3 linked regions of the Drosophila melanogaster genome follow. The protein of the gene in region 3 interacts with the protein of the main gene of each other region in a pairwise test. Each region holds a gene or a part of one and is shown on either strand. Other genes may lie near its edges.

Region 1 (9,432 bases), on a different chromosome or scaffold from region 3:
CGGCCCCTTTTAAAATTTGTTTACAAGCTTTGTATACATTCAATCATTTTGCAACACCAGAAACTAGCTGATTCGACATAAACACACAATCACAAAAGACGCGCAATTTTTATGATCCGGATTAAATTCTTGTTTTAAATATGGGCCTTGGAAGCGGTGACAGGGTAAATGAAACCGACCACTTCAGCTTTCCCGCAAGCTGGCAGGACAACGGTAGAATGCAGGTGCAGTTCGCCATGTTTCGATCGAGGCATCTGGATGCGGAGGGCTACGACGCAAAAATGAATTTCTGGATGGATTTAATTGCAAAATATCTAAAGTTCAGCGGACGACCAATCTTCAGCCTGCGGGATCTGCAACTGCTGTTCATGAGGGGTGACCAACTGCCCGCCTGCCTGGACACCGTGATATCCGAGATGCAGCAGAGGAAGCAGATCCGCTCTCGCAGTGAATTTGAGTACGATCCGGCCAATTCCTGGGGTGGTTGGCTCGTCAACAGCCTGGTAAAGCGCCCCCTTTCATGGAGCTGGTCGAAAATCAAGCACAGCGTGGTGACGGAGGACCTGGAAGCCTCCGCTTTAATTGAATGGATTCACCTAGATGCCTTAAACGTATGTGATATCATCCAATGATTATAGGAATCCTACATAATTAACTTTCCAGAACACTTGCGATCTCATCGCCGAAAAAGTCCTGTCGGAAAACACTGGAAAACTACTGCACTTTAATGCTTTGAAAACGCTTTGTAAGACTCACGGAGTTCCCACTTACTCAGACAAAGATCTATGCGCTTGCCTGTTGGCCTTAAATGTTCGTCAAATCTTGGGCCTAGAATTTAAAGTAGAAAAAGGCATACGCCAAATTCACTTGATCAAAATACCAAGCAAGTTTAAAAGGTTCTCAAGTAGTTAGTATGTATTATTAAACTATAATTTTTGTTATAGAAAAACCTGGCGACGATCTTAATATAAGCCAAGAAGACCAGGCCGTCCACAATCTTCAGAATACCCAAGCTCAGTTACTCAAGCAGTTGGAGGACCTAGAGGAGGAGATCAAGGTGAACGATGACAAAGTGCGCCAGTACATGAAGGAGAACAAACGGCAAATGGCAAAAACCTATCTACGAAAAAGGCATCTCCTGGAAAAGAATCATGGTAATCTTTATTGTAGACACCCCTTATCTGGCTTTTGTGAATAATGTTCTTTGAAAATTCTCTAATTAGAACGTCGCAGTCTTGCCCTGCACAACATCGAATCTCTTCTGTCCAGTGTGGATGAGGCCCAGAACAGTGGCGTTGTTCTGGATGCCTACAAGATCGGATCAAATACCTTGAAGAAGGTTCTCTCGAATTCTGGATTGAAGTACGACAATGTCGACGAAGTATTGGCCGATGTGCGGGACACGCTCGACCAGCATCGGGAAGTTCAGGACATAATGTCCAATAGCGTTGTGGAGAACGCGAGCCAGGAAGATGATCAACTTGAGCAGGAATTGCGTGAACTGGCTGGAGAATCTGCGCCGGCTACGTTTAGTCCACATATTAATAACAACCTAAGGGCGGAGGTTGTGATTACGGACGAGGAGATGATTGCCATGCTGCAGGATCTTGAGGTGGAGGATGGTACTGTATCGCAATCCAGTGTAAAATCCGTGAAAACTGCGATATAAATGTTGTGTTTTTTTAAATGGCATGTGAACTGTTATAATTCTAAATTTATTACATTGTAAAATGCGTTTTTATTACAAGGAAGAAACGTGAGATTTGTTCGTAATTGCTTTTTTATTCTATCATTCTGTACAAAATGCGTCCTTATCGTAGAGAATTGCTTAGAGCTATGGCTAGACAAATGTTTCCGTAAGTAGGAATTCAAAAATATACATACATACATGTCTTAGGTAAAGGTACAAATATATGGATATACACATGTCTGCGTCCTTCGGCTGTCCACATTCCATGGGAGGGATCGTGCAGAACAAGTTGAGTGTACACCGATATATCGTAAGGCAATACAGCGAAATGCTTCGCAGCGCCGAGGTGCATGTGCATACATACTCGTCTATGCTTTGCGTTTTATATAGGCGTATAAATATAAGAAATCCGAAGCACTCTGCAGTATGCTCCCTTGTTCTGGGTCGAGCTACGTTGGACTTATTAATCGTTAATCACTAAGGCAAATTTGCGCTCTATATATTGCGTAATGTCAAAAGCAGACGCGCCACGCCCCCTCCATTTCCAACCCTTATCTCCCCGACCACTCTAAATCGTGCCCTTGAGGTTTGTTATGTATGGATTTGGAAAAGTATCAAAATACTTAAAATCGTACAGATAAAACAGATCAGGACCGGCAGGATCACAATGAAGCGCAGTGATCTGGAATCAAAGTATCGAAGTAAATCATAAATATCGAAGAATCCTTACTTTGACATTAATATCAACACACCTTCCTTGCCCTAGGGCTGGGTGTCAGAGATTCAGGTCCATGTCCGCCTCCAGATCAATGTGGTTGAGCGAGTTGCCGGCGCTGTTGAAGATCTGATTATCTGCGTTGCTGTTATCCGTGGTTCCACTCACATCAGCGCTTCGCTTCGATTTACCTAACAGCCAGCAAGAGAATACTTTGACCAAATTTCGGACATTAATATTATGATGATGGCGTTGTCGTTGTAAATGAGCAAGGAAATCAACAGGAAAGGAAAACAATAACGAGACACCTAGCTACGAATACAAACCGCCGTCATGATACATACATTGTCCTCTAAAGCTAGCTGAAACTAAAACCTGAGCTGATCCTCCGACTGGAGTATTGGACTGGGATGTTAAGTGTGGTGGGATGTGGAGCAGATAGTTCCGTAAATGTAGCAACACTTACCGCCCGTAAAGCACAGACAGCCCTCGTCATCGCTAGGCGATTCCCGCCTCGAAGTCTTTAGCTTAAGCTCCTTGTTCAGCTCGTTCAGGCATCGCTGATAGTAATCATAGTCTTTCAGATACCAGACTGGAGGCCATCGGTGCTCGCGCAAGTACTCCTGATTATCCTGGTGTAGCGCCTTTAGGCCCTTGAGTGAAAACTTACAAATAAGGTTGTAATTGACGCACAGGTATGACATGCACCACTCGGCCAATTGATGTGCGTTGTGCAGCTGAAAAAAAAAGAAAAGTATTGAATTTCGGTATATCATTTTTAACTGATCTCTCTATGTGTACCTTCACTGGCTCGAGCAGCTTTAGACAGTGATCCACCGTTTCATTGGTTTCGTTCTGAGAAATCAGAGTGAGATCTTCAATAACGCGGCATTCAACCAGGTTGAGCAGCCGCGGCAGGCAGAGTCTATTGGCCAGCTCCAGCAGATTGAGGCACTTGACGGCCGAGATTGGCGGAATCTGGTCTGTGTACAAATAGCACAGCAGCTTGTGGAATGTGTAAATGGTAACGCCAGGGAATACGATCTAAGGTAAAGGAAATTTATGACAACTGTCCTTAGTTAAGGGGTATTGTGCCCGTTCCTACCACATTGGAATGAGCCTCGCGAAAGTCGCCTAACAACATTGCGCGCATGACATCACAACGACCAACCAACACAGCGCGGTGTGCCTGCAATGCAGCAAAGGTAAGTGTAAACGATTGTGCTTCATATAGTAATTCAACAGACATATGTATGTACCTTCATTAAGCCATCGTCCAATTCAAAGGTGACATCACTGAAGCACCCGTCACCAATGCAATGCCGTTCCATGCTTTCTTTGATGCGCTAATGTATGTAACAGAAAATGGTTAGGATCATAAAATAGATATCATGACATCAATGCGCTCACCAGGCAAATGTGCGGATTTGGCTCATCGCTGGAGTTCTCCATAACGGTTTGAGGCCTGGAAAGTAGCTGAGTCAGTTGCGGCAGTTCTAATAGATCGGCAGCTTCTCGAATTTCCTGTGAGAATTAACAATATATTAGTAGGTCAAACTTAACACAGAATACATTGAAACATTTCCTACCTCGATATTATCGCAATCCTTGTCAATGGTACCGGTATAAATAAATCTCAGGCACTGGTGCAGAGCTTGCGGAGAGATAAGTTTGCTAAGGGTGACAATCGTCTGCAGACCATTTACACCCCGATGGTTTTCCACGTGCACCAGGCGAATGCTCTGCAGGACCGGATGATGCAGCTCCCTGTACAAATCGTTGGACCGCTTAGACTCCATGAGAGGCAACGCCTGGTAGCTGGAGCGGCGCTTCAAGTGTTCCCACATTCTGTGGGTGCAAAATGTATTCAAAGTCAAATGGGCTCAATGCAATCGGGAGGCAGCACCCACCGTTGTGTGCGTGATTCGTAGCGGATCAGGGCCTCCGTGTCATCGTTAAAGTCCGCAATGGTGGCCTCCCCGAATGTTGAGCTGACCATGCTAGATTCGCTGCTGCTCCGCCCGCCCATATCAGTCAGCTCAGTGCTAAGCAGGCGCTGGAAGATGCTGGACGCGGCGGCTAGCATGAACCTGTGCACGGCGAACTTGGTGCCACCCGCCCCGACCAGGACGAGGTCGGTGTAGGCCTGCGACAGGAACATGTTGTAGATGTCCTGCCGATAGTTGCCGACCATGACGGTGACCTCCGGTGGTGGTGGCTTCGGTGGCCGGAACGGCGCCTGCAGCAGGGGCTTCTGCACCTTCTTCAGGTTTGTCATCCAGAAGCGCTGCTGTCGGCGTGCAATCAACGCGGATCGGATGGCGTTTTCAAACACCTCGTTCACCCCAAAGTATGTGAAAACACTGGTCTCGTAGTACGCCACTCCTAGCTCTTTGGCGACGGCACGCGCCTCATCCGGCATAACCAGGTCACTCTTCAACGCGGCTCTTTAAAAAAAGATTATAGTAATGATTGCCTTTAATTTAATCCAATTAAATAGAATATCTCTGAACATATAAACAGATTAATTTGCTATAGTGGGCTAAACATTGAATTATATCTTTCGTGTGTTCTAAATATAATTAAATTATGGTGAATAATTGAATTGATTTGATTAAAGAACAACATTAAAAAGTGAAAGCCACTCAAAACCGGCTGAAACCTGCTAGCTATGCATACCGAACAAAGGTTCCCTTCTCGCCGAAATACGAGAGATAGTTCTCGTCGCGATACATGTAGCGCAGGTCGTTCTTGCAGCCAACTAGAATGACGGGAACATCCGGACAAAAGCGGCGAATTTCCGGATACCACATCATCTTGCAGTTGCGCAGGGAAATCGGACTGGCAATGGAAAAGCACAGCAGCACCACATCGGATCTGTAGGTCAAGAAGGCATCTTATTGATTCGTATGGCGAAAATGCTGCTACATGAGCTCTACACACCTGCCGTATGCGAAGCGCCGATCCTTGTCGTGGTCACCAAATGTGTCCCATAGGCGAAGTGAGACATTCACTCCATCGACCACCTCCCATGATCGCTCGAGTACCTTTAATGTATATGGATTCGGTTAAATGCAATAACTATGACTCTTGAGAGAATGGTAACCCACATCCTTATATATGCGATACTGGTCAATGGCCCACACGGTCGGCACGTGCGTAGAGAGGAGCTGAGATAGCGAGACGTGTTTGTTGCAGGCCCTCGCGCAGATCAGTCGCGTCTTGCCCACGGCCGTGTCCCCCACCAGGACGCACTTCACTAGCTCTTGATGCGGCTGCTCGTTGTCCATTTTGGGCATGCACAAATAGCAGAACCAGCTTATGGAATCTGAAATGAAAATAGTATTGGATTTTTGTGTGATTTAATAAAATGTGGTCTCTCCTGAGGAAAACATACATAAATGAAAATATTGAAAATAAAATAAACTGCTGACACCCCTTCTAATATAAATAAGTGAACTACGTAGAATAGCTGCCTTAATGTTTTTCAGTTCTGATAAGCAGATGCTAAATTCTCGACTAACAATCGACCTGCTAATTACTAAGTTACACAAAGTGTCGTCTGCATTAACGTTTTGTGTGAAGGCAAAATGGTTTCATCACGTGATTAATTTGATTTTAATCTAGATACCTAAGTGCTTCCCAAAATAGAAATACATAGTTTGAAATAATCTACGCACTGGGAAAATTCACTTCTACGTTCAGTTATACGTAAAGCCAGAATAACTGATCTACGCCAATAGGCAATTTTGTTTGTTTACTCGCTGCGCACTGTGAAAATAACTATAGTGAAATCAGATACCAGCTTCGTATCATTTACTTAGAAATCTATTGGATCCCGCAAACGGAGGCTATAAAACCAGCCAATTCATTGACCCCCACTTGATCCACTTGTCGCGGAGGAAGTTGGAGTAAGTACCTCGGATACGGAGCGATAAGCTCGCTCTCTCTCTTTGAACCTCTAATTGAACTTAATTGGGCTGCACTAAAAATATATCTGCCTTCAATCCTCCGGTCGCAATGAGCACACTTCTTCCTGCGTGGCCCACGCTTCATGGCAATCCATTGTCCGATCTTCTCGACGAGCTGCAGTCTGTCTATTTTGGGACGCGCTTTAAACCCAAAACAATAACCATGCAATTGAAAGTACTTCAAGTGGTCGCCAGAAGCGATCGTTGTTCTCCACAGGAAAGTCTTTTGTTCGTGCGAAGACTTTAAGTTACTGTCAATATTGTGGATCGTTGACCTCTGGAATACATGGCAATCGGTTCCACTTTTGCTTTGATTTTCTATAATTTATGTGTTCAATCTATTTAGAGCCATTTGAATTGACTTTATGAAGGTTAAAGAGGGAAGAATATTCTTCAAATATTGAAAAATTAATGTCTGATATAACTACTATAAAATACCGTTTTTATTTTTATTATTTCCTTGTAGAAATATTTTTAAAATATATTATTTAAGTGCCCAGTCTTAAGCAAAGTGAAGCAAAAACAAAGAAACAAAGAAAGAAGACGTTGTGAAGGTAAACAACTGTTAGTTTTTGAAGATATCAGGTATTTTGAAAATGGAAAGATCGTATTTTTTAGTTTTTAAAAGGTATGTTCTTAGTTTTCATTGTAAAATATTTGCACCAACCATAATCTTGGGAAATAAAAACAAAGTTTATTTAGGGACTGGTTCCAATTTATTTCTCATGCGAGGTGTGAACCTGTGGTTTAATTAGACATTTTGATTCGCGAGAATTCGCAGAACACGCCAGCATATTAGCATTATTAACAAACTCTGCGCTGTTTTGCCATGTCTGGGAAGTCTCCTTTCTTCAATTTTGCCAGCTTATTGATTTTCTCGTGCCATTGCAAAACGGCCACAAATACCGTTACCAAACCACACACACATTCAGACTCGCACACAAGGAGGCACAGAAGGGACTTTTAGGAGGGGATCTTGAAGTTCGGACTCGACATTCCGGCAAACTTGACCCATTTAGGGGAGAAAAATCGTTGAACACTTGCACTTTTTCTCGAGGAAAACGCATGTTGGTGGGTAAACAATTAAAACCTGATTAGAACCTAATTCTTCGACTGCTGGCCGAAGGGGAGAGCACAGAATTCCCGAACTCATAAATCTCCGCGGACGTAGCACTGCAGCACTCACCTCTGAAAACGCCTGATCCCACGGATTGCACGAATTGCACGGATTTGCCTCAATGTTCTTACTTTTGCGTATTGCACTTATCAACACGCACACCAAAGCACGGCATTTTACAACAATTTGCATTTATTTCTGCACCCACACACCGATGGCGACGCAGTTTGTGGTTCGCAAACACGCGAAATCTTTACGGCTGGCACAAGTTTAACATCGCTGCGAGCTGGTTGCCGACGGATGGCTGCGGATGAGCCAGTGCTCGCTGACCAGGTGCACTATAAATGAAATTAAAAAATAATAAATTGCAGTTACAGCCCGCAATTCTTCTACGCGCTTTGACGGCAACCGGCCAGTGTTGGAAAACGGCGGCGGTTGGGCGCGGAGCACTGCCAGATTGACGGAGAACGGGAATTCACGGAATATTTATTTTTATAATGACTGTTATCAGGGTTGCCCAATATTTATTGTATGGTCGTTGGAAAAATTTCAAGCATTTGAAATACATTTTGAAATCGCCATCTATCCTAGGTAAGGTGAATATGCAGCTTACTTTAGTCCAAAGTTACATTAGAACTATTAAAAATCATCACTTTAAACTTATTAAGTCTTTCGTATTTGAAAATATGGCCTACCACTTTGTAAAATTTCTCCAATTGGGAATTTCAAATCTGGAACCACTCACAAAATAAACGATCTGGCAACATATTAAACTAGTTCTGCGTGCGCGGTGAGTTGGCAGCTCTGCGAACAGATGATTGTTTGCTATTTTAGTTGTTGCGAAACTAGTTAGAATTTATTTTTCGGTCCAAAAAGCGATTAAAATTGATTGAACGTGTAACCGACCGGCTTGGAAATCTACTCCTCCCACTCTAAGATTTCTTGTGCGCGCTACGTAAAGCCGGAGTAGCGTCGTCAAGAGTATTTCACAAACTCAATGTATCTTACGTGCAGAAAATCGATTTTTGCCTTAACAGCGGTTTTTGGTCGACGGTTGGCAGCAATTAAACAAATTTCCGCTAACGGGCACCACTAAATCGCATTTATTTCGCACAGGTCAAGTGCGTTGAGGGCCAGCATTTCAGTAACACATCGAACGATTGGCACGCTTATAAAACCCAAGATGACAATAGCCGAAAGCTCGCAAAAGTCCGCAACTAGGAAGCCAGACAGCATGGAGCCCATATTGAGGTAAGTGCACGTTACGCATCTTAGAGGTCGTCGAAAGGCAATGGTTCGTCGTTTATAGGCTGAACAACATTGAAAAGTCGCTGCAGGACACACGCGACTACCGCGGATTGCAACTAGAAAATGGACTAAAGGTCCTGCTCATCAGCGATCCCAACACAGATGTCTCGGCGGCAGCGCTGTCCGTGCAAGTGGGGTAAATAAGATCAAATCTTCACTCAATGTTTGTTTTTAATGAGTATACCCATGGCAGCCACATGTCTGATCCCACGAACCTGCCTGGATTGGCCCACTTTTGCGAGCACATGCTGTTCCTCGGCACCGAGAAGTATCCGCATGAGAATGGCTACACCACATACCTTTCGCAGAGCGGCGGAAGCAGCAACGCCGCCACCTATCCCCTGATGACCAAGTACCACTTTCACGTGGCGCCGGACAAGTTAGATGGAGCCTTAGATCGCTTCGCGCAGTTCTTCATAGCCCCCTTGTTCACGCCCAGTGCAACTGAGCGGGAAATCAATGCGGTATGTGAAAGCATTCATTAAAATTTCTGACAGAAATAGGACGCTGTCATTGCAGGTAAACTCTGAGCACGAGAAAAACCTGCCCAGCGATCTGTGGCGCATCAAGCAGGTGAACCGCCACCTGGCAAAGCCTGACCATGCCTACAGCAAGTTCGGCAGCGGCAACA
Region 2 (6,721 bases), about 14 Mb from region 3:
TCTCATCTGACCACAAAATGTTGCGCCACTTCTCCACAGGCCAGTCCTTGTGTATCTTGGCATATTCGAGTCGCTTTGCCACATGCTTAACAGTCAAAAGCGGGACTTTTCTGGGACTGCACGCATTAAGGTTGTTTTGTCTTAAGCGTTTGCGAACTGTTTCCACGCTTGCAGCTATCTGAAGCTCCTTCTTCAGTTCCGTCGCCGGCTTAAAAGGCTCCTTCTTGCTTTGCCGAACCAAGCGCTTGATCTCCACGTTGGACATTGAGGGCTTTCTTCCACGTGTTTCGTCCTTTTCGACAAACAGCATTGTGGATCATTTTGTTTGAACACCCGACAATTCGACCAATTTCAGCGTAGGTTTTACATTCAGAGATCATGTTTTTAATCAAATTTCTTTTTTCGACGGTACAATGCTTTTCGCGACCCATAACTAGAGAATTTTTGGTCTTCGTTTGGAACAAATTCAATTAAAACCTTTAATACAACTCCTTTTTTCAAAATTTGTCGAAAAAAATCCCAAATCACTCCTATTAATTTTATTCAACAAATACGTGGTCAGTGCTATTTTTGTTACCGTCTCATTTCGCGCGCTTTTGCAGCAAGTGCCCAAAAACAAAAAGAACCGTTACATTGAGAGAGTAAAAATTTCTTGCTCAGAGAGCCAACATATGGAACTTATTATTCATGAAATCTGACTTAAAAAAAAATAAACATTTTATAATTTTTTTTTAGCAAATCAACTTTCCATCTGCAGTAGTGCTATTATTTTAACCGCAGCTGTATGTACATATGCATACATATTCATATATTTAGTATCGTATATTATGTATAATTATAAATCTATGTGCTTCCTCTTCTATTTTATACATATACATTCTTACCTATTAATTATATACTTTGGAAGTCGGAACGAAAACGATATAACCATTGGAATAATCAAAACAAAACATAACAAAATATGTTCCATTTCTTGTTTATAATTTTAAAGTGCCGTTATTCACTTTAAAACACTTTTTGATAACATATGTTTTTGGTTCTTATTTGATAAGCATCCACTGTATCAATTATTTAAAAATATTACAGAGAAAATTATAATTTTGTTGTATTTGATCATAAATTGTTCTTATTCTTTTTATAAAAAAAAATGAAACATGCATTCATCTCCAACGACTAACTAGCTTTAATATTCTACGTATGTATTTATATTTACACTTTCGGTGCGCTATTTTATTTAGCATTTTATGTTTGTAGTCATGTGTTGCATACCTCTTAGTTTCGTCAATTCTTTTCAATTGATTTTTGTACACATGTCATTTGTTTATAATAGTAGTAATACTTTAAACAAGTATATTATAACGTGTTTAAGAATTTGCATATATGTGCTGACTTTTTGAAGGTGCCCTATACATATGTAAACCTTTAATAAGTAAAAGTAAAAGCTACATGCAAAAATCTCAGCACAGCACTTTAGTATTCATTTATTTGAGATCTATTTGTCTGAACTTTAAAACATTCCCTTCATATGATTTAGGCAACAACAATACAATAAAGATCCGTTATATTTCGTTTCATTTTCTTTTTCTATGCTTTGGTAAAGCTTTTGTGAGGTTGCGGCAGCTCTAGACTCGACCAACTTGCTCTGAGATCGTGATCAAGTTGGCTGCTGCAATTTCTTGCGCTCTCTGAGCCATGTCATGATTCACTGAGCCATTCCTTTCCCTGGCTCATTCGTAAGCTCGTTTTGCAGTAACTTTTCTACTTAAACATTTTATATAGTCGTACGTATGTAGCTACCGCTTCAGTTTGGTGCTTAAACGCGTTGCTCGTACTTCATTAAGCCGTAATCAATTCAGGTGGTGTTGCTATTGCTTAGTACACATACTTTAAAAATATATAGTCTTATGTTGTGAACATCCACCCAAAGTATTGTTAAATAGCTTAAAGGAATTAATAAAAATACAAGAAGAATAGTGAAAAATAAAATTATACGCCATTCATACAACTATGAAAGCCATGGATCTTAACGGATTTTACCAAACTTTTATTTCGTTCCTGATATGGGGTGCATTTTCCAATTTTCCTGAAGTATTTGCAGTACGTGTTGCCAACTCACAGCAAAATCAACCTAAGAAAGGTAAGGAAATCCCATCTTGGTAATTTTTTTCACCTAAGAAGTCTTGAAATATCATTTTGTGATTTGTCGACAGTACATATTCCTTTCATTAAAATGATTATTTAAGTGCAATACGTATATACTCGTATACATCTAAACATGACTATATTTCCAAGGGGTGTTCCAAAGATTTGGGGGATCTTTTGGGTATCTTTACTGTAAATTAATTGGAATGTTTTGCAGGACAAAACGTTGTTTTGCCACACTTGCTTTCCGTTATCGTTTTCATAAGAATATATATATTAGAATTATAGGTTGATTATTTGGCCAACCATATATTATATGGATCAAAACATTTTAAAACTTAAATACCGTCTTTACCTATTCAACCCATACGAAGTAGAATAGTAAAATTATACACAATTAAATACATATGTATGTGCAAATAAAGTGAAAGGGAATAAATATTCAAACTAAAGAAAAATTGAATGGTTTAGGAGAAAGAGCAGTGCAAGTCTACAGATTTAGGGAACTGGCCATATTGGACCCAATGTAGATAGATAAACGTACTTTCTAAAATTTTCCCATACGACGGGCTGGAATGGAAAATTGCCTACACTTTAGGTAAAATTTTCGAAACAAACAAACTACAATATTAATCGCTCTTTTCTATATTTCTTATACCACAAAATTTTGCTTGTATCTGACATTATTTTTGTTATTTATTAAAACTTTTTTTATTTAAATTGCCTTTTTCATCAATATATATTAAAGTTAACAAATTTATAAAGAAATCAAAATATTTAGCCTTCATAAGCTTACACTGGTTTAGCCTACCACTTACTTTGCGCAATAATGTTATACTTTTTTAATTTTACTGATAATGGTATTTCTTCAACTTTTTAATTGCTGAATCGCTGACCTTGTCAGATGTTAGCATGCTACTCCCTACAAATTACGAAAGTGCGAACACTTCAACAAGCTTCAAACTTTTAAATCGTTGAAACCCCGATAATAAGAAAACTCTGTAAGATTAAAGTAAAACAACAGGATTTATTTACTTCGGTCTTAAATTGGAAAGCATTAAAAAAACATATTAAGATCTTTGCTAATAGTTTCTAACTTACTACATATGTACATATGCATGTAACTAAAAGAATTTAACAACCAACATAAATAAAGATATATTAGATAAATACTAGTGATTTCTTTTGTCAGACCATTTAGTAAAAGTTATTTGTAAATTTTTTAGCTGAGAAAGAAAAGTAAGAATTTTTAGACTTTAAGAATAGTGTATAACTATTTTGAGTGAGTCTTAAAAATTTTTTTTTTGCAATTTTCATGGAAAATAATATCAGCAGATATGTATGTATGTTCGGATAATAATATTCGCAGATTTATGTACGTTTGTCATGAAAGTTGACTCCTGTTTTCAATTCGGAGGTCGTCATTTCCATCATTTTTTGGTATGATCTCTTAAAAACTATTCCATAGTTTTTTGTAACCGATTGTAATTTTTATTAATTCACAAAAATAATCTATGCTTCATTGCTTTTCGATTTAGAATACACACCAGATAAAAAAAGAGATATCCGAAACGCACTTGAAAAAAGTTTTTTCGCTTTCAATCGAAATTTTGTTTTGAATTTTAATCTACACATCTTTTAGAAGCTGTGTTAGCGATTTATGTCATTAATCAAACACACGTTTTAAGTGTTGAAATCCAATTTTAGCAATAATATGTCAAAAATGAAACTCAGGAAGGTGATCGAATTTTTGACCCTTTTTCAAAAATACATGTACATAACTTCCTAAAATGAAAAGCCAGTTCAATTTATTGTATATGTATTGTATTGTATATGATTGAAATGAGGTGATCACAATGATTTTGTGCATTACACTTGGAGTTAGGCTTGTGATTTGTTGAAAAGGGTGAAAGGGAAAGTCTAGCCTTAGACTACGTCATTAAAACTCATTGTTTGCAGTTTATGTTTATATAAATATATTATATTTAATGCGGTTTTTACTTTTTATAAATTATTTTTCTGTCATTTATATCTTTATTTGCCTACGTTACACTTACTAATACTCTTAATTATTTGTGGTATGGTCGACAAAAATTAACCTAGCTGGTGGTCGCGCCTTTAAGTTTCTTAAGTTACTTTGAAGAACAATGTCCGCCATCCATTTGCGCCTCGCTCTCTCTCATAGCTGACCAAAGGACTTGTTGACATACGCGACATATCTAGAAGCTGGTTGTGATATTTTAGGAATACATGCATACGTTATTATTTCGAAATTTTCTAACGGATAAACGGGTATTTGATAGTTGATGTACTCGTTTTTTGATCATTCAAGTATGTGCAGATATGATTTGAATATACATAAATTATAGTATAATTTGGTATCTTCCTTAATTAACATTTTTCTAAGTGGTCCTTAACCAATAAATACAAATGTTTTATTTGAAATGAATGCAACATCAAAATACAAATTTATTAAGCTTAAAACCGGTCTGCAAGGGGTATTAAATGGTGCAGCCTTAAATTATAACTGATTCAAGGTGACTTCAAACTGAAAATTTGTGTATGTATGTACGGGCACCCAAACATATTTATTCAATGTTAAAGACAATACAATGGTATTACATTACTAAACTTTAACTTGCAAAACAGAAATGCTTTTTTTAATCAACACATTTTTTTTGTAATGTTATCGTTGCTGAAAATATGATAAAGTTGTTAGGTAAACCCATGCTAGTCATCTCTCTATTTCCATGAATACAAACTAACAGAGTAACATACATATGTGACACGTACGGAATGTGGGACTGGTTTCCGATTGCATTTATACAGTCCCAATATATACATACCTACAAACATATGAATGTACGTATGTATACTATATAAATATGTATGTCCGTTAGTGCAAATGTTTCGAAATAACGTAATTGATTACACTAGCGTACAAAATAAATTGTATAAATAATTTCAAATGGATCTCACAATGTAGAGTGACACATTTTTATGAACCCTATTAAAGAGTTTTTAGAAATGCAAGTTCTATTTCCGCAGTATACCCTTTTACCTTCTCTAAACCGTTCCATATATCCATCCATATCCATTTTTAAAAACGACCATATCACCAAAGACACTAGAATAATTATTCTGATGTCTTTGATATCACCCCTTTCGAGAAATATAAATAAATAGAGTAATATGTGAATTATTTAAAAATTACCATATTATAGATAGGCTATATTAACAATATTGGGTGCTAGGACCGTTTTGTAAATTGTGAATTACACAAACTCTATATCTTGTTTATATCGTAAATATTTCGAAAATCAGAAAATATGTCTTTCTAAAGTATTTTCAGTTCAGTTAATTAACAAATTTATCATCAATCTTAAGATAATATTTAAGCAAATTTACAAACAATGTGCGTAATTTTATTACCATAAAATTATCAAAATATATTTATAAATTTATTTTAAATATGGTTGCATGTATAGTTGTATGTAGATTTCCCATTGATTTTTAAGTCTATTACGGCTAGAAATTGCGGACCAAATACAACACAAAATAACTCACAAAACAAGACTAAGTTGAGGAGCCAGTTTTCTGGTTTACTTTAAAACTGTGTCTGTAATTCATATATGTATGTGTGCAAAAATATTTAACTGTGTGAAATGTTTATACTATGTATGAAGCTGTCTTTGGAGCCCAACGAAATGGAACAGAAAAACTAGTCGACGACAACAGACAAAAAGCTAATAATTTTGTTGCTTGTGGTCTTTTTAAGCGAGAATAATCAAACAAAAAGCTAAGCTAGAAAAGTTAATCTTGCGTTTGGAACATGTACATATGTTTATTTCAAACTCTTCACTTTAATGGGATTCCAAGATCAGAAAAAGTTAAGAGATAAACAGGAGAGTATTGAAAACGATTGATTAAAAAGTGCATACATACATACAAATGTATGTACAAATTATCATTTTAGTAGATTTTCCATATATTTATTAGCGTAAGTTTATTAATTACAATAGGGCTTGCGCGGTCTGCACTTAATGAGACGAATAGTAAGTACGTGGCGATGACCGACGCTTCTAATCTTCCAAAATCGACTGACTTAAGTATAGCAAGAGTTCTTATCTCTAAAGCTTAACAAGTTACAGTTTCTTATAGGTAAAGCTCGATCTATAGATGGGAAAAGCACTTGAGGCTTACGACTATATTTCGGGTGTTTTGTGATTGTGTTAACTCCTCCCCTTCTAAGACGAAGGCTGTCCACAGACTTTTTACAATTGGCAAATCTATTTGAAAGCGGATCTTACGGGTAACATTGGTTGTGCACTAAGTTCCCATACTGCCAACCTGGTACTGCGTTAAACCATCGAAGGGAAGGCAGCTCTGCGTGTCTGGATGATCCGAGAAGTTCGTAAATGCTGCTGATTCTCCATGTCATGGGTTCGCAACAAGGTTCTGGAGATGATCGTAGCGAACTTGGAAAAAATCTTTATTGTAACCGTCGACTTGTTGACGACGATGATGCTGATGTTGGTTGAACTAGTTGACCATCAAAACGTATGTGTTGAACGCACTC
Region 3 (7,523 bases):
AAGTTGAACAATCGTAACGAAATAATTGAATTTTCATTTCCGTTTTATGTGTTTACTTCCGCTTCATGGACGCGGCACCATTTTCTCCAGCTTTTCCGTTTGCCCTGTCCATATGTGTGTGTGTGTGTGTGTGTGTGGGCTTGGTGATTTCGGCCTATTTGTATACAAAAGGCAGTCAATTTCTGCCAGCTTGAGGAAACTTTTTAAGTCAATTGTCAAAAAGTTCTTAACATCTTTTCCCCAGCCACGCCCCACTTTTGTGGACTCGGTATGGCTCTGTTTCTGTTTCATTTTCGCTGCCAAAATTGAAATATAATTCGGTAAAGTTGCGCCTCTTTTCGGTTCGGCTTTTCCACTTAGACGACGTTTGGATTTGGGCCATAAATCAATGCCAGGCGAAAGGCGTTCGACTGAAATTGATTTAGAATGCGTGGAATGGGCGTAACTTCTTACGGTCGTCAGTCAAGCTTCTGCACTAAAAACAGTCCGAAATGCCAGTGCATTTTATAGTTTGGCTGCAAATCACTTTTCAAACTCTTTGACACGCAGAAAAATATGTCACACTTTCATAAAGCTAAGAAGGAAAAGGCATGATATATTTTAAAACCTATGTAAACAGAATTATATGGCATTATTAAATGCAAAAACAAGAAGACTATTTACTTTAACGATTTTTTCCCATTAGAAAAATATATCCAACTTAACTCACAGAAGAAAGCACCTTTAATAGATCACAGCTGAAATTGTGATTATCATAAAATCAGCATAGAATGATTGCCAACCGGTTTTATAGCAATAACCAGCGATTATGCTAAAAGACATCTCCGTCAGACTCGAAGTCAAATCCATCGAGCATCCAAGATGATCAACTATAGCGGTTTTGCATATTTGATGCACTTGGCATAAACTTAATAAACTTTGCCCCCAGTTACAGGTTATAAACCCGGCGCACCAAACTCGTAAAGATGGAAGCGCGTTAAAGTCACTGAGCCACAACTCGTTGTTTTATGACCAACTCGATGAACTTGCCGCTCCCCCCGTTTGCCATTTCCATCTGGTTTTGTCTAAGCATCTGCCATCATTCTGGCTTTTGTTGCACCATTTTTCACTATTAACAGTAGCCATAAAAGTAGCGTTTGCGCCAATAAAACTTTTGACATGTGGGGCAGGAGGGTTTCCTTAACGTTTTTTTTTCTTACTTCTAGCCGGGCCAGGTGTTACCTTCAACCTTTGCACCTGAGCTTCTCCAGTTGCGTCTGCTGGTCCTGCATCTCCACTTGTCATTTGCCACTGTGGCCCCAGCTACTTGCTACTTGCCACTTGCGCATTTAATTAAGTTTACGCCGCGCTGCACACGCAAAAGGACGAAGGACGTTATTAATTAAATTCCTTTATACACAGGTTAAGCCAGCCATCCCCTCCACCACCTTTCGCCTTTGTGTGTCAACAATTGGAATATTAACGAGGCAACTAATGAAAGTTTACAAAGCCGGAGTCTTTTCCGCCGAAACAAATCGAAAGGGAAACATTTAATAAAAGTCGCACTCACCGATTTTCCGCCCGAGATCAAAGCAATTGCTAGACCAGTTCCCCTAGCACCACTTGACCCACACGGCGGATGCGTGATTTTCGCTACCAATTATAGTGGATCGTCTTGGGAGCCTTTTTGCAGTGTCTGCGTGCAAATCCCGCCGCGTTGATGCACTGCGGCAAAGGTTTCGGACCCCTAATAAGCCACGACCTTAACGGACTCACACATCAAAGCAAGAGCACGCACACCCACTTACACACTGGCTTATAAGCCCCAGACACGCAGACATATGCAAAAAGGATATGTATTAACTGTACGCATTTAAGCCGCTTGTCGAACGCGCACAAATCCAGAAGGGGAAAATCGACTTTTATTCAATACACTCGAAAAATCAACTTTGGCAGATAAAAAACGAGAAGATGAAAACGAGACAGCAGGATGGACCGGAAAAACGGGGTTTTCGAGGAGTGGGGCTACAATATGCGAGTATAAATGTGCAAATCCCCAATGCAGCAACAGCTGCTGCTCAGCCACGCCCCCTTTCGACCCCCCTCCCCGCCTTCAGTGCACTCGTTTGGCATTTACATTTAAGCTGATAAGGAAAAGTGCCTGCTCCTCGGGGTCCCTTGGTTTACCGCCTCCTGCACCCCAAAATCCACCTGAGCGCCAAGTCGCCTCGAAGGGCGCACACACACACACACACACAAGCACATCGAAGACGGCGATGAGAATTGTTTGTTGAAAATGTCGCCAGTTTATGAAATCGCGTGCGTTGGCAGCAAGGAATTCACATTTGACGCACGCACTTTACATTATTAATGCCTAAAGACGAAGGCGGCAGAAACAAGTTCAAGTTTTAGGCTAAAAAAACGGGAATCGAGAAAGAAATACCCTTTTGAAAGTAACCAAAATTCATTTGATATATAACACAAAAGAAGATATAGTTGTTACATTTTGAACAAATGGGAAATTATAGTTTAAGTCAATAAGTCAATCCATGCAGATTCATAACCTATATTTCATATCTTCGATAATTCTTATATACCTTTTATATCAAAAGTTACATGGAGTAGGTGAGTAGTGCTGTGTGCGTGCTTGTGTGCGTAGAGAAGCATCGATGTTTTGGAAAATGCTCCTGCCATTTCGCAAATGTATCGCATTTCCGTTTGGGTGTTTGCACTTTTACGCTTCGCTGAGAATTTTCCAATTTTTGCTGCTAATATTTATTAATCAAGTAATAGCTACTCACACGCAGGCACACACTACGTGTATGAACACTTGAGCTTGTGCCTGTGTGTGAGTGTGAGGTCGCTTGATTTTTGCACGAAAAATTGATTGGAAATTTATAAGCTAAACTTTTTCCACTGTTTGCTTTTGTTTGCGGCCCACGAAACAAACTTTTTTGGTGTGCGCGGTTGTGTTTTGTTACTTTTTTTTTTGTTTTTGTACCATTGCTGCCATTTGCAGCACTTGAAAAGGTCGCCACAAATGGAAGTGAGTGTGTGTGGAAAATCCCCATCAGAAAAATATTGAAATTCGATTTTTTTTTTCGTACTCTCAGTAACCTTTTACCAGGTCCCCAGCTGTCTGTCAAAGCCTCGCCATGAGGCAGGAAGCATTTCGAATTATTTTCAGTACAAACTTTGTGCCGAGCACACCTAGAACCCACTCCAATCAAATAAAGTAAGTTCAAATTGTAACTATTCTGGTGGAAAAAAATCTACAATAAATATTCAACTCTGAGAATATTTGTGGTCACTTTTCACTTTTTCAACTCAACTGTCTTCCACAGCGCTGCCTATCATGCAATACAAGATGAACTACTTGCTGATCCTTGGGTGTAAGTATACGTTAGTTTTCAGTACCATCTAGCATGCAATTATTTATAATTAATTGCGTGTATTTCAAACGCATCCATTGTTTTGCTTAAGGTGTCCTCATGTTGATGCGGCCGATGTACGGCGATTGTCTGCGCATGAAGCGTTCTCAAGGCGATACTGCAAGTGATTATAATGAAACCACTACAATGGACAATACTGCTTCACTGAGCGGAAAAGCCACCGTGTTGGCCAATAGTACCATTACCACCGCTAACATGACTGAAGCCGCCACATCTCCGGAGCAGAAGATTACTGCTGGACCGGTGCGCAGTATGGGAGTTCGTGGAAAAACCACTAGCTCCACAACCACCACCGCATTATCATCATCACTTGCTGCTGTGGCATCCACATCCTCGCCTCCGGATGCCGGAAAATTTCAGCTAGTGGAGGATCTGCTGGGACTGCGCCGTCCCAAGAGGCGTTTGGGTAGCCTGATGGACGACAGTCTGCAGCCACGACAATTGCACCACAAGCGTCGCCCAGCGGTGGAAGCTGCTGCTATGGCCACCTCATTGCCACCCAACCCTAATCCCAATCTTAATCCCAATCCCAATCCCAATTCCAATCCCTACGTGTACTACAACAAGCTGGTTTCGCCAGATGGCAAGCACGAGATAAAGGAGTTCGAGCTGCTGGCGCCCAACATGATGATTGAGAGTGTGCAGCAGGAGCTGAACTACGGTCCGGAAGTTCTGCCACCGGAATTGGCCGGAGTGCTACTGCTGAATGCAGCCGAGAACACTCCACGCGGACTTCATAATGCAGCACCACTGAAGCACCATCGCAAGCATAAATCCTCGCCGGCTGTGCCACCGATGCTCTACATGCTGCAACAGCTGTTGCAGCCCAATTTCGAGGGAAATCTCTTGCTGGAACCACCAAAGGAGCCACAGCGTCACGTTAGTTCACCCCTCTATCAATTCCTTGATGGCGCCATGGATCTGGCTTTGCGCAACAATCCCGATGTCATCGATCACCTGCTGGGCGATCACCTAGAATTGGAGCTGGAGATGGAAAAAAAGAAGGGCATCAAGGATAAGGCACTAACGAAGAAGGCCAAGAAGGAGGCACAGAAGATGGAACCCAAGGAGGAGCTCATCGTCAGCTGTCCCATTCACCATGAGCACCATGCCAATCGTAATGGCGACGTGGTCGAAGATGATGTCGTTTTGGTGAACGAGTGCCATCTAGTGTGAACCTGAAACGGGCAGCTGTCACAATGTTTCTTAAAAATTTTAGGTTACTTGTTTTTCCGCATTCTTTTTTTTATTTTTTGTTGCTTCAACTGGAAGATGTTTATATTTCTTGCATATGTAAGGAGTGGCGAGACCATTTTTACTTTGTATACAAAAAACAGACAATAAAAACTAAATACACATCATAATAACTATGTTCAGCGGAAGAATATAAAAAATCAAGCTCGAAAGTTGCAATATAATCCTTCGGGAATGCCATCATCGAGCAGAATGGCCATTGTTCCGCCCGTAACAAATATCAAACTTACGCTCCAATCGACACCCGATCCCCTGGGTGGCCTTCTCCTTGAAGTTCTCCTTCGTTTTCATTAACAAAATCGATTTCCTACCTTGAAATGTCCTGAGGGGAGAGGTGGATGAGCGGGAAAATTGATATGCCGAGTGCGACAGTGCAGCCAAACGAGCAAACAAATCTAACATACAAACCCTTGACTGCGGATGAGAATATATCCTCCATTTATAGCAATACATGTGTGTGTGTGTATGGGTGTAGGGGTGGGACATAGCGAACGGAGCCGAAAGGCAAAAGTTTTGCCGGCTGCCACTGCTAAATGCTGCTAATTTCGTATACAATAAAACTAATGTAAATTGCCACTTGACGTTCACTGGGCGTGTAAGTGTGTGCCATAGTATGTGCAAGTGTACTGGCTGCACATACATAGACATTAAATGGGGCACATAATGTGCCGGGAGTCAGGAATCGAGAATCAGAATTCAGGCTTCAGGACTGGGAACACCAGGGAAAGGCAAGCCATTGAAATAGCGAGTGTCATGGGTGCCTGGCCATCAGCATAAATACAAATTTGCTTCACAAATCCACGTATATAATCTATATAAACTGCACTAGATGCCAGCAGTACATCTACATGTGCCAAGCGGAAAAGTGCAACGCAGCATTCGTAAAATTGCGTAGCTCCTTCGACTTCAAGATACATTTGGAAAAATAGAAAGAATGGAATAAGATTGCACAATAATTATATTTGGAGAGTGGTATAAAGATTTAATTATTTAATTAAATATTTATAGTGTTTCATACGTTAACAGACATAAAAATATAATAATTAAAGGACGTACTTGCTTATTTCTAGGAATTTAACATTTATATAATAATTTCTAGTACACTCAAAAAATATCTTATATTTGTTATAGATATAAAAGTAAGGCAAACATTATTTCTCTCTCTGTGGTGGCACTGCCAATGTCCCTGGGGTGTTAACTGGAGTGTAAATGCGAATGTATGTGCAATTCCCGCTGCTAAGTGACCAGGCCCCCTCCAACATAGACCCTCGCACACATATATATTTATTTACAAGTGTAAATAATAAATGCTTGCATCAGCCATTCCGCATTCCACTCAACTCCAAGGTCCTGTCAGCACTGCAAGTGCATTAACTTTTGCCACACTTTCGTCACCAATGCCATTTTCGCTTTAAGTTGACATCTGCGTAAATAGCTTTAAGTTGCGTACAATACAAATATAAATATAAATATAAATATAAATTTCGAGAAAGGCAGGCGGCGACCACTTTCGCTAATCTCTTTGCTTTTGAAATTTATGGCTTCATTATGAGGATGACAAAGACGAGCGTTGCCAGGACATTGCCAGGACTCTTCTGTCAGTCACTCGCTCTGTCTGGCTGTCGGTCTTTCGGTGCCTTTGTTGTTAATGTTATGGTTGTCATTTGGAAGCTTGTAATTACGTTAGCCACAAGTTGTTGCCAAAAGTTGTAATCTAGATTTCATAGTCAAAAGGCGACAGGCAACAACATAAAATTCAATTGAACTGTTGAGTCAGCAAATATCAAATGAATGGCAATGGTGCCTTTAAAATGCCGTTAAAGTCATGGCCCAAGTATCAGGAATCTGCTCAGTAATATATATAAACATTTTTTGGACAACTAAGGGAAAACTTTTCGCAAATAACCAGCAAATAAATTGCTGAATATAAATTGCAAAATCAGTTTTGCTGCTTTTAAGCTCACTCTGGCATTATCAATTTTAAACGAAAAGTGTTTTACTTAACTGGTTTGGCGTTTTTAAAGTGGTTTAATGGTAATTCGATAACCATAATTTGTATGCTAATAAATACAGCAATTGCTGTTAGGTAAAATCAGTTTGGTAATACTTAAATTTGAATGCAAGTGAAATACATTTAAAATTGTTTTTATTGAAATTAAGTATGTTAAATTGGTGTACAGATTGTTGTTTGTGTAAATTGATTTTTTAAATCAATTTTAACATCTTTTAAATATGGTTAGTGTTGCTTAGTTACGCAGTAGTTTTTGTTGTTTTATATATTTCTGAAGAACCTATTATTAACGTAAATATGTGTGTTGTAGGTAGTGTTATTTTTCAAACACCCTGCAATTGTGTACACATTGTTAATATACATTACCTCACTCAATTCATTAAAAATAAATTAATCAACTTATTAACCACTTGGCTTTACGTTAAAGTCAAACGTTGAACTTTGCAGTGCGGCTCAAAAAGGCGGTTATTTTATTTTCGCCCTATTGCCTTTTGCGGCTATCATACATGGCGTATGCGACATGTGACAACAGAATTATGCAAATTTCAGTGTCACCTTCAATTGCATACCAACCGCACGCACACCGCAAAAAAAAAACACATGGACGAAAGGATACAAAGCCAACTGGCAGGAAAAATGGGTGAAAAAATGTTGATTATTTCGCTTGACGAAGGATTGTCGATAAAATGCCGAGCGATGCAGAATGCAGACGTTTCGCAATGAAAACGCTGTGAAAATCAATAAACAAATAAACAACGGCGCGTACAAGTGAGAGCATACATCAAAGCGGCTTAAATGCAAGAAAACTCTATTTAAATTGTCAACAA

The links. Proteins that work in one complex are often made in the same cells at the same time.
Region 1: the proteins of CG15109 (region 3) and RhoBTB interact in a two-hybrid assay, tested with the Drosophila melanogaster proteins (one large-scale study listed by BioGRID).
Region 2: the proteins of CG15109 (region 3) and stw interact in a two-hybrid assay, tested with the Drosophila melanogaster proteins (one large-scale study listed by BioGRID).

The regions. Positions count from the first base shown.
Region 1 is NT_037436.4:20,374,732-20,384,163, reverse strand, and holds RhoBTB (Rho-related BTB domain containing), read right to left. Parts: upstream 7,923-9,432; 5' UTR 7,563-7,922; intron 6,423-7,562; exon of another isoform or gene 6,325-6,422; intron 5,734-6,324; 5' UTR 5,705-5,733; coding exon 5,516-5,704; intron 5,453-5,515; coding exon 5,349-5,452; intron 5,283-5,348; coding exon 5,085-5,282; intron 4,853-5,084; coding exon 4,316-4,852; intron 4,254-4,315; coding exon 3,995-4,253; intron 3,930-3,994; coding exon 3,816-3,929; intron 3,752-3,815; coding exon 3,665-3,751; intron 3,595-3,664; coding exon 3,511-3,594; intron 3,450-3,510; coding exon 3,207-3,449; intron 3,143-3,206; coding exon 2,872-3,142; intron 2,618-2,871; coding exon 2,466-2,617; coding exon of another isoform or gene 2,443-2,465; intron 2,373-2,442; coding exon of another isoform or gene 2,282-2,372; 3' UTR 1,766-2,281; downstream 1-1,765. Other genes in the region: CG5498 (uncharacterized protein), read left to right, coding at 141-611, 664-883, 945-1,154, 1,224-1,669; Ide (insulin degrading metalloproteinase), read left to right, coding at 8,677-8,744, 8,803-8,937, 8,995-9,265, 9,321-9,432.
Region 2 is NT_033778.4:5,411,945-5,418,665, forward strand, and holds the start of stw (straw), read left to right. Parts: upstream 1-1,799; 5' UTR 1,800-2,007; coding exon 2,008-2,137; intron 2,138-4,151; exon of another isoform or gene 4,152-4,448; coding exon of another isoform or gene 4,449-4,473; intron 4,474-6,721.
Region 3 is NT_033778.4:19,056,273-19,063,795, forward strand, and holds CG15109 (uncharacterized protein), read left to right. Parts: upstream 1-3,148; 5' UTR 3,149-3,214; intron 3,215-3,323; 5' UTR 3,324-3,346; coding exon 3,347-3,371; exon of another isoform or gene 3,372-3,462; coding exon 3,463-4,607; 3' UTR 4,608-4,793; downstream 4,794-7,523.